Linked DNA regions of Arabidopsis thaliana. The protein of the gene in region 1 interacts with the protein of each later gene in a pairwise test. Each region holds a gene or a part of one and is shown on either strand. Other genes may lie near its edges.

Region 1 (4,450 bases):
TGCCGTTTCGTTGCTTGCTACTTCATTCTTATTTTTAGTTCATATTAAAACTACTCTTAAACATTCTTCACATAAAAACCTCAGCCGTCGGATGCGAATATAAGCGGCTTTGATTATATAACGTATTATTTTAATTTTTTTCCTGCTTTGTTGAAATTTGCTGAGGTAGTTATTGCATTTTGGCCAGCTCATACACTGCTAATAAAGCAAATAATCTCTTAAATTATTCTATAATTAGTTAATTACTTACTCACACGGTGTGTGTGTGCATGATGTGTAATTGTGTATTATACACTCTAGAAGAAGAAAGTTTTATTTGGAGATATGTAATTTTTTAATTCCCTGACTATGATTTCTTTTCTTATAGAACTGATACACACTTCACTTAAGTCAATTTAACCTGGTTTTTATAAAGGCTAAATGTTAGATTAGGATGCTAGTGGTGAAATCAAGTCGAATTCTTTCGACATGACCACGTTTTGAATTTAAGAGAAAAAGTACTGAAACATTCAATTCGTTAAGATTTAAGGTTTATTGCACCGTTAAGTTAGCTGCCACTTATCATTAACGTCGTTAACTGCACATGACGGTCACGTGGGGTCAGCAATCTGTTTTTTTTTTCTTACCGCGGAAAGAGGGTAAAATTTCCCGCGAACTCGCCAATTGTAACCTTTTACGGTTTTACCCTTATTTTTTAACGGACTTAACCACATTGGTCGCCGTTGAATTTCTTCTCATATTGTTCATTGAAAAAACCATATCACCCAAAGCCCAAGGGCCAAGGCCCAAGGATAATGATAACATTAGTCTACTACACTTCTGGCTACACTTCTGGACATGAGTCCATGACTTTTCAAAGAATGTGACATTTTTTTTGGTTGTTTAAAACCAGTACAAATATGAAAAGAAAAATACAAAGATGTTTGAGTACCTTTCACAAGTTATGTTGTGATGTGTGGCTTGTAAACGCATATGTTCCTATGCTTTCGAAGTGCCTCGGTGATCTCTTTCGATATGGTTCACAAGATCTACTGGATCGCGGAATCCTCTGCTACATCTAGGGCAGACATCGACCGTGACATTGCCATGATTCTGCTTCTTGTTCCTCTCATGTGTTTTCTCTACATGTTCCACAAGAGAAGTAACCGAAGAGAATTTCGCACCGCACTGTGGACACACCTCCACGATACCATTATCTTTGCTGCTCGAAAACTGTAGCTTCTGGCTAATGTCATTACCGAGCCTGCTAATTCCTGCTTCTGCTGAAGATAGGAGATTAGACCATCTCGAAGAAGAAGAAGATGATGAAGTTGATGGATGAGCTTTGTTGGGTCTTGTTGTCTTAGCTTCTTTTCTGGTGGTACTACTACTCAAGAAACCCATGAATGGGAGTTTTCTTGGTCCAGGGCAAGTGTGATCAGGTCCAAAACGATGTTTCAAGCAGTGATCGACATTGCAATCTCGGCACTTGATGGTGTTGGAGAAAGTTAGGTACTCCTTGCATCTTGGAACGGGACATTTCTTCTTCTTTGTAGCTTTTTCGTAGTTTGATGGGTCACAGTCGGTATTGACATGTTTCTCCCATGTTATATTTGGGTCTTCGTTTGGGTTTAATCGGACTCCTTTAGCACAGAGTGGGCAGATAACTACAGTCACATCTTCTCTATCGCCTTTTGGACAACTATGTTTCATATAGCTTCGATGATCCAAACAAAACACCTGTAAAAATTTCCAATGTAAGACTTTTCCTCCAAACCAAGGAAACATTTTGACACTAAAGATTCAGAGAAAACCAGAGCGCTAACTCAAAAACAAAATTCAAATCGTCAACAGTCAATGGATCTAGCAGAAACATGAGAACAGACAACCGAACCAAGAGAGCAGACACGAATCATTGTTCTCTTGAATCAAGAAAGCAGTCAAGAATCATCACATTAGTTACGAGCAGAATTTTTCTGAGACAAGAATGAAGAAATTGGAATTTACCAAAATACCGATAATTAAGCTCAAAATGTCAGTTAACTTAACACCTAACGATAACCAAAAGGATTCAAGTGATAAATTCGATATTCGAGACTTCAATTCAATCTTCTTCTTAGTCCTAAAGTACAAAATCGAAACCAACGAGAAAATAAGTAACAGCATGATTATCGTTGATCCCAGAGATATAGGATTCAGTCAGAGTCAAACACCATTCGCGAAAACATAAAAATCGAGTCTTTGCATGTGAATATAAACAGAGAGAAGGAGAGAAGGAGAGAAGGAGAAAGGAACCTGTAGGCAACGGTCGCAGGTGAAAGGCAAGAAATCGATTTGCTTGCAAACATCGACGGAGCAGTGTTTCCCCAGATCTGGAAATTCCGGAGTCCCCATTCGAATTCGAACAACAATTCCGACCAAAAATAGGGTTTATATCCGGCGAGAGAGAGAAACTCAAGGAAAAAAAGAAATAGGATTCTGCAGATTTAGATGAGCTGAAATATCGCAGAAGCCGTGAAAGCTTTCAAATATGTGGGAAATGTCAAACTGATTTCTTCTTCTATATTCTCAGTCTTTCTCTTTTGTCTATGTTAGAACAATCCAATTAAAAAAAAGTCAATACTTTGAATCATTCGGAAATTTTCAGGAAATTCTTTAACTTTACTTTCCAAGAATCAGAACCTGTCATCGAATGTTCTTCACAGTAATGGTTCGTCTATTGAACATGTTATATCAAACAAAGTCTATATCATAAACCAAACTTGTAGAGGTAGAATATTGATGAAAATTAAAATTGGCACCACTGGATTAACTTTTCTCAACAAAAGTAAAAGCAAAACTAGAACATTAAGATCCATAAGCAAAAATAAAGTAGTTTGGAAGAGGAGATGAAAACAGAAGGTGCACAATCCAGCAACATATACTACCAAAGGTTCAACCAAAATTAACTCATGAAGGATTATAATCCAAAAAGAACACAAGGTGGAAGCATTGTTTAGGCTTGGTCTTCAACCACTGGGTCGGGTTTGCTGGTCGAAAGAGCCTTGGACGCCAGGAAATCAGTGTGCTCTTGGTATGGTGATCTAGAGAATCTTGTCTCCTTCCAGAACTCTGGGGTAAGGAATCCGTAAGTCTTCTGAAGGCAATCGAATGTAGCCTGCAATTTAATCAACATCATGAAAACAATTATTCATCCGTGAAAAAAACTAAGGTACAAGTGAATACTATACATGGATAAAAAACTGAGGGTATATTGTATTCAAGTTACAAAACTCGTGAATTAGCAAGAAAACAAACACATCATAAGCAAGTGAAAACAGTCAAGTATCAAGAGATGCCAAACTGAATCTATTCTTCATTTGCTACATTAAAGGTTTCCTACAAAGCGATCATTCATTACAGCTAAAGAGAATCACTAGACGAAAGAGAAACACTTTTTCTCTTCCATCAATACACCAATAACATTTCCAGAGATATTTCATCAAATACAGTGTGAAGTCAGAATTTTTCCTAACCAAATGGACTCCTGGAACTACTTATATAGCTACTACTGTACTAAAATGACAGAAAATGCTCAAATTTCGAATAATCAAATTGTGATTTCAAAGAAACTACCAGAAACCAATCAAAAGGAAACGAATCTCGTGTATAGGTAACTACATGAAAGTAAAAAAGAACAAACCTTGACGAAGTTTCCAAGAGTTTTGGTGGATCCCCTGGAGGAAGTGAAAACATCATCAATTCCAGCGAATTGAAGAACCTTCTTAGGAACTCTAGCAGCCACAATACCAGAACCTCTAGGAGCTGGAACCATCCTCACTGTCACAGATCCACACTTCCCAGTCACCTTACAAGGAACCGTATGTGGCTTCCCAATCTTGTTACCCCAGTAACCTCTCCTCACTGGAACAACAGACAGCTTAGCGAGAATAATCGCTCCTCTAATGGCCGTAGCAACTTCCTTAGAGCATTTCACTCCCAACCCAACATGACCATTACCATCTCCAACGACAACAAAGGCCTTGAATCTAGTCCTTTGACCAGCCCTGGTTTGTTTCTGAACCGGCATGATTTTCATTACCTCATCCTTCAATGTTGGACCGATGAGCATATCAATGATCTGGTACTCCTTAACCGGGAGTGAATGAAGATAGATCTGCTCTATCTGCTTGATATGACCAGCCGCCACGAGACGACCAAGCTTGGTCACTGGAACCCATTTCTCTTCTTCACTGGCACGCCCTCCACGACGACCACCACGGCCTCCACGTCCACGCCCTCCACGATCTCCACGACCTCCACGGCCTCCGAATCCTCGTCCGAAATCACCACGTTCTCCACCACGCTCAACACCACGTTCTCCACCACGTTCGGCCATTGTCGAAGAGTAGTTCAAAGAGCTGCTGAATCAGTGGGAGACTGCGATGTATTGCTTTGCGTGAGGAAGAGAAAACCCTAGTTGCGGCAAATT
Region 2 (4,963 bases), on another chromosome or scaffold:
CTAGTCATCACCCTTTTGTATTCCGTAATGTTAATATTACTGTAAACGCCTTAAACAACGTTTGTAGTTCACAAATCATTACTAGACTACTAACATTTTCTTTATTTCAGTCAAATCAGCTGCTTTTTCTCAGGAGTATATAGTATATTTTTGTAAAGATTTTTCTGCATTACTAAATACGAGTCTTAATTTTAGTGTCGACTATAAAAAAAGTACTGTTGTTGTACTTTCTGACAAGAAAAGTAACATGTACTTACTGCCGCAACTTGTCAACCATCTGGTGATTTATTTCTCGAAACATAAATATTTATTGTATGGGGTCTCTGATGATCTGAGCAGCCATATTTCTGTAAGCCGTCGGCTACCTTTGAATTGTCGGTGCCCTTAAATGCCCACACACAATTAAGATCATCCTTTTAAAAAAAGCCCAAAATAAAATTATTTGGCCCAAGTAAAGAAGTGGGCCGGAAAAAAGGGGTAAGACGCTTCCGTTTATTGTCAACGAGTTTACGCAACCCAGATTTGCTTAGTGATCACATTTCTTTGCTGACCCGAATTATCTGCAATCGACTAAACCATGTCTAGGAGCATTTACTCTTAACTCTCTGTTCACCTAACTTAGGATTTCAAGAATGCTTAATCATATTAATGTTGTGGATTTATGTATTTTCAAAGTCGATTCATGAAAACTATTGAAGATTTGGGTTCTAGTTAAAGCAAAAAAAAAATGAATGCACGCTTATGTTTCTTGAAATCACTGAAAACCTGTTTATAAAATGTAAATTCATCATAATCACATATGGTGTGGTGTGTGGGCAACTTTAAGTCTTTAACTAAGAAAATCTAATGTTATTGATTGATCAAATCCCTTCTTGATTATGGAAAAATGTTCCACCTAAACATTAAGAAAACTCTACTTGAGATGAAATAAAGCAAAAGAACAGCCAGAAACAAGAAGACACATAGAGACCCCTAAACAACCAGAATTAGAAAAATAATCGATTCCATCAATCAGAAGCCACTTGACTCCCAGAGTTATCGCAGACCAGTTCGATCTTCGGCTTCTTTCTCTTTGTGCAATACCCCGTCGACGACAACCTAAGAAAGATCAAACCAACAAGTTTGTAGAATGCTCAGTAACAATAAAAGCTTGTAACAGAAGTTAGGGCTTTGTTTTGCAGTTTACCCCAACTGCAAGGAAGTGTCGGAATGGTGCTCCTCGTTGTCATTCTCATCCTCTTCTGATGAAGAGCTCTCGGGATCGGCTTCTGGGCTAGAATCTTGAGGCCTTTCATTCAACACTTTTGGTCCTGAACCTCTCCCCAACATCTCAACCTGAGGGCAAATTAGAATTGAACTCAGTTATGACTGGTGAAGACCAGACCGAGCTAATATAAGGGTTTTGATGAATCTTTACCTGTTTGCGCAAGATTTGGTTTTCTTCCAATGCTTTTTTCTCCTATTAATGACAAGGAAACAAAACAAGAGTGTTGAGATTCAACATTGTATACGAATTGATAATAACAATGATTCTGACATTTGAGGAGCTCTGTTCGTACCTGTATCCTGGATCTCTCAATCTGGTTGAGCAGGATTTGTGTCTGAATCAAAACAAAACTTTTCAAGACAGGGATGAATCAAAAATCATCTCTCGATGTTTGAATAAATTAGTATTTTGTCTTCACCTTTTGATCCTTGACACTATGCAAGCTCTCGTTCAACTGGTTTTCAAGAGAAATAAGATCCGGGAAACTCATACCTTCAAGCTCCTTACCCTTAAGTCTCCTGTTCACGAACAAGTAGAAAAAACCGATGAAAGGCCGAAACTTTAACCAAGAACAAACGCAAGTTCTTTTTCCAGTGAGATACATACTCAATTGCAAGCTGTAATCTTTCAAGTTCCCCCTTCATAGAATCATCATTTCGCAACTACAACAACGAATACCATGTAAGGTAAACCAAAAACTTGAACACAGACAAAGGGATACAAAAATAAATTCTTGGTAGAGAGTCTCTGCTTACCACAGCTTCATTTCCATGTGAAGCACAAATTAGAAGTTGGTGTTCTCTTTGTTGTTTATGCTCAGTGGACGCAGTAGTGTATCCATATCTAGAAAGAATTTGCTCCATACTTCACAAATTGAACAAAACTCTCCGTTAGTAAAACCCCGTAATTGGTTTGATTGATCATTACAGGAAAAAATCATGAATCTAAACTTCTGCATTCTCAAATTTCTTCATAAAGATAAGATAAACACTTCTATGGTCTAATAATCTTAGAAATTAACGATCTTTCAGAATTCTGGAGTTGAGATTCTAACAACTGATATATACATAGACAAATGCATCTCCCAAATTCTGATACCAAAGATAGTGACCAAATTGTAGTTTCATCAACAGTTAGGGTTTATAAAACACACAAACTAATCCGATAGCAAAAATCGTAATCTCAATTCTCCAAACCTTAAAATCATAACCCATCAAAATTATTTCATCATCAACCTAAAGATTTAGCCAGATTAGGATATAGATAAACAGGGGTTGCTCTGTTTTCATTTACTTTAGACACAAAAACCCATAAAAATGCAAAACTTTTTATTTCCCCAAAGCAAAAAAAAAGAAGCAAAATCATGAGATGATAACTAATATACCAGACGCTGGAGAAATCGTAAATCTTGCCGGTGCTGGAGAAGATGATAAGAGCAACCTCGGCGTCACAGAGAATCGAAAGCTCTTTAGCCTTCTTGATCAAACCGTTTCGTCTCTTAGAGAAAGTGACTTGACGACTGTTGATATTCTCAATCTTCTTAATCTCAATCCTTCCTCTCCCCATATCTCTGAATAACAAAATCAATCAACCTGGGCTCTGTGGAATGAAAAAAAAAACAGGGTAAAAGAAGAAGAGAAGAGATATAGAGAGAAGAGATTATGATAACAGAGGAAACAAGTAGAGAGATTTCTTAAGATTTTGTATATATAGGAGGAGGACTAGTAGAGGAAGGGGTTTTCTTTAGAAATTGATCAAATATTGGGAAAGGGGCTAAGGAAGGAAAATTAGGACCAAAATTAGGGTATTATATAAAAAGATGGGAGTTACTATAAGTAGCAATTTTCCATATTTGGTGGCTTTGCTAATTTGCTTTGCTTGGTGTGAGTGGCTGTTTTCTTCTTTTGGAACTTTCTTCCCATTTATAACGCCCTTGTTTTGGTTTTGGATCTCTTCTCTATTTCGTGTATCGCCTCCCTTTTTTTTTATCTTCTAGGGTTTTTCTTTTTTGGCTTTGCTTTTAGGTCATCATGCTTTTTATTACGTTTCTAAAACTTAATCTTCCATAATTTTATTGTTTTATTGCTTTACAGAAATGTTACTTTTTATATAGTCAAATAAAGTTGATCCCTATAATAAGGAAATATTTGATCAACTATTTCATTTTATTATAGTCTTTATTTTTAGTTGTTTTGGATACTGTTTTATTTAATAACTGATATTTTCATATCTTTAAAAGATTTATGAAATAACAACTACTGTGTTCTTTTTTTTCTCTTTAGCTTTGTTTTCTTGTTGGTTGAGATTTTGTTTCTTTTTTTTGGGTTGAGATCTAGTAGAATGGCCAAACGTGGCCGTATTTGAAGAAGAATATGATAAGAAAAGCAAAAGGTGTGGCTTTAACGTTTCTATAGATAGTAAAATCTCACAAGGAAGATTACTTTCCCCTCCAAACTGAGTTTGTTGTATTTTTAGTAAAAGAAAAATATCTCTTTCTAGAGAAGACTTTCTATTGTAACCGAAATTATATTTTGAGAATTACACTGTATTTGTGGAATTATCTAAACATTAGTAATAATAAATAAAATTAGTTCGGTTGTGAAATTTTGGTGAGCAAATATCTTTTTATAGATATGGAAAGTATTTAAGTAAATATAAATACATGCTATACAGCTCAACACTTTTGTTTTGCAATGTAAATAATTCAGATGCGTGTTTCTAAATGTAGTGTTAGGTCATTTAATCGTGCTCTTTTTGTTTTTGGTCAATATTCTCCCTTTTCCAAAATTGAAATTAAAACTAAGCTAGAGAAAAACAAATAATTTACTAAAAAAATATTTAGTTCCACTTTAACCAATGTGATTTACACATTCTCAATTCAAGATAAATCTTTAAATTATACTCCATAAAACTTTACACATTTTTTTTTAACACTTTACTATCTTTTGTTGTTGTCAAAAAAATAATATCTCGTATGAATCGCGTTGAATCATCTTTCGAAATTTATAAACTACCATCAAATACGAAAATAACGTGATTTCTTAAGATTTTGTTTTCTTCTACGAAAGGAACAACATTTATTTGTGGTGAAATTTTGTTATAGAAATTCCCATAAATGAATTAAAAACCCAAAGATATTTTAAAAGAAACCTCTTTGGGATATTACTCACATAAGGTTGGTTTATATACAAAATAAAAGAAAGTTCAATATTTTTTTTTCCCATTAACCAGACACTTCTGTAACATGCTAAAAAAGAGAATGAGCCACTTGTCGTAATTACATGCAAATCTGCAATTTGTTTCCATTTTACTTTTCTTCGTGCAGACTTCTAGATCAATTTTAATCATATTTGTTTATGAAAAAAACAATGAAATTTGATGATAATTATAACAAGCTACTCTATACAGTATAAATTGAAAATATATCGAATATATTCTTATCAAATAGAAACGGAAAAAATCTTAACAAATAGATTACTAAGCAAAATTTTTTTTTGTAAAACACACAAAATTGTAAAAAAGACGTATGGAGGAGGTATCATGAAAGATTAGCATGTTTGGGACTTTGGGCCTATAAAGCAAATAATATTTGGGCCCTTAGACCCAGTTGAATGTGGTATGAACTCAGTGGAAAAAGTGTGAAAAAAACTCAGTTTAGTTGGTATTCTCCGGTTAGTGATTTCTATACAGAACAAA

The links.
Region 2: the proteins of AT2G41835 (region 1) and AGL18 interact in a two-hybrid assay, tested with the Arabidopsis thaliana proteins (one large-scale study listed by BioGRID).

The regions. Positions count from the first base shown.
Region 1 is NC_003071.7:17,457,042-17,461,491, forward strand, and holds AT2G41835 (zinc finger (C2H2 type, AN1-like) family protein), read right to left. Parts: upstream 2,651-4,450; 5' UTR 2,374-2,650; coding exon 2,275-2,373; intron 1,720-2,274; coding exon 979-1,719; 3' UTR 658-978; downstream 1-657. Other genes in the region: AT2G41840 (Ribosomal protein S5 family protein), read right to left, coding at 2,975-3,136, 3,662-4,357. UniProt on the Arabidopsis thaliana protein: May be involved in environmental stress response.
Region 2 is NC_003074.8:21,231,780-21,236,742, reverse strand, and holds AGL18 (AGAMOUS-like 18), read right to left. Parts: upstream 3,272-4,963; 5' UTR 2,834-3,271; coding exon 2,652-2,833; exon of another isoform or gene 2,132-2,651; coding exon 2,023-2,131; intron 1,930-2,022; coding exon 1,874-1,929; intron 1,786-1,873; coding exon 1,686-1,785; intron 1,602-1,685; coding exon 1,560-1,601; intron 1,460-1,559; coding exon 1,418-1,459; intron 1,336-1,417; coding exon 1,187-1,335; coding exon of another isoform or gene 1,183-1,186; exon of another isoform or gene 1,099-1,182; coding exon 1,008-1,098; 3' UTR 765-1,007; downstream 1-764. UniProt on the Arabidopsis thaliana protein: Probable transcription factor involved in the negative regulation of flowering, probably through the photoperiodic pathway. Prevents premature flowering. Downstream regulator of a subset of the MIKC* MADS-controlled genes required during pollen maturation.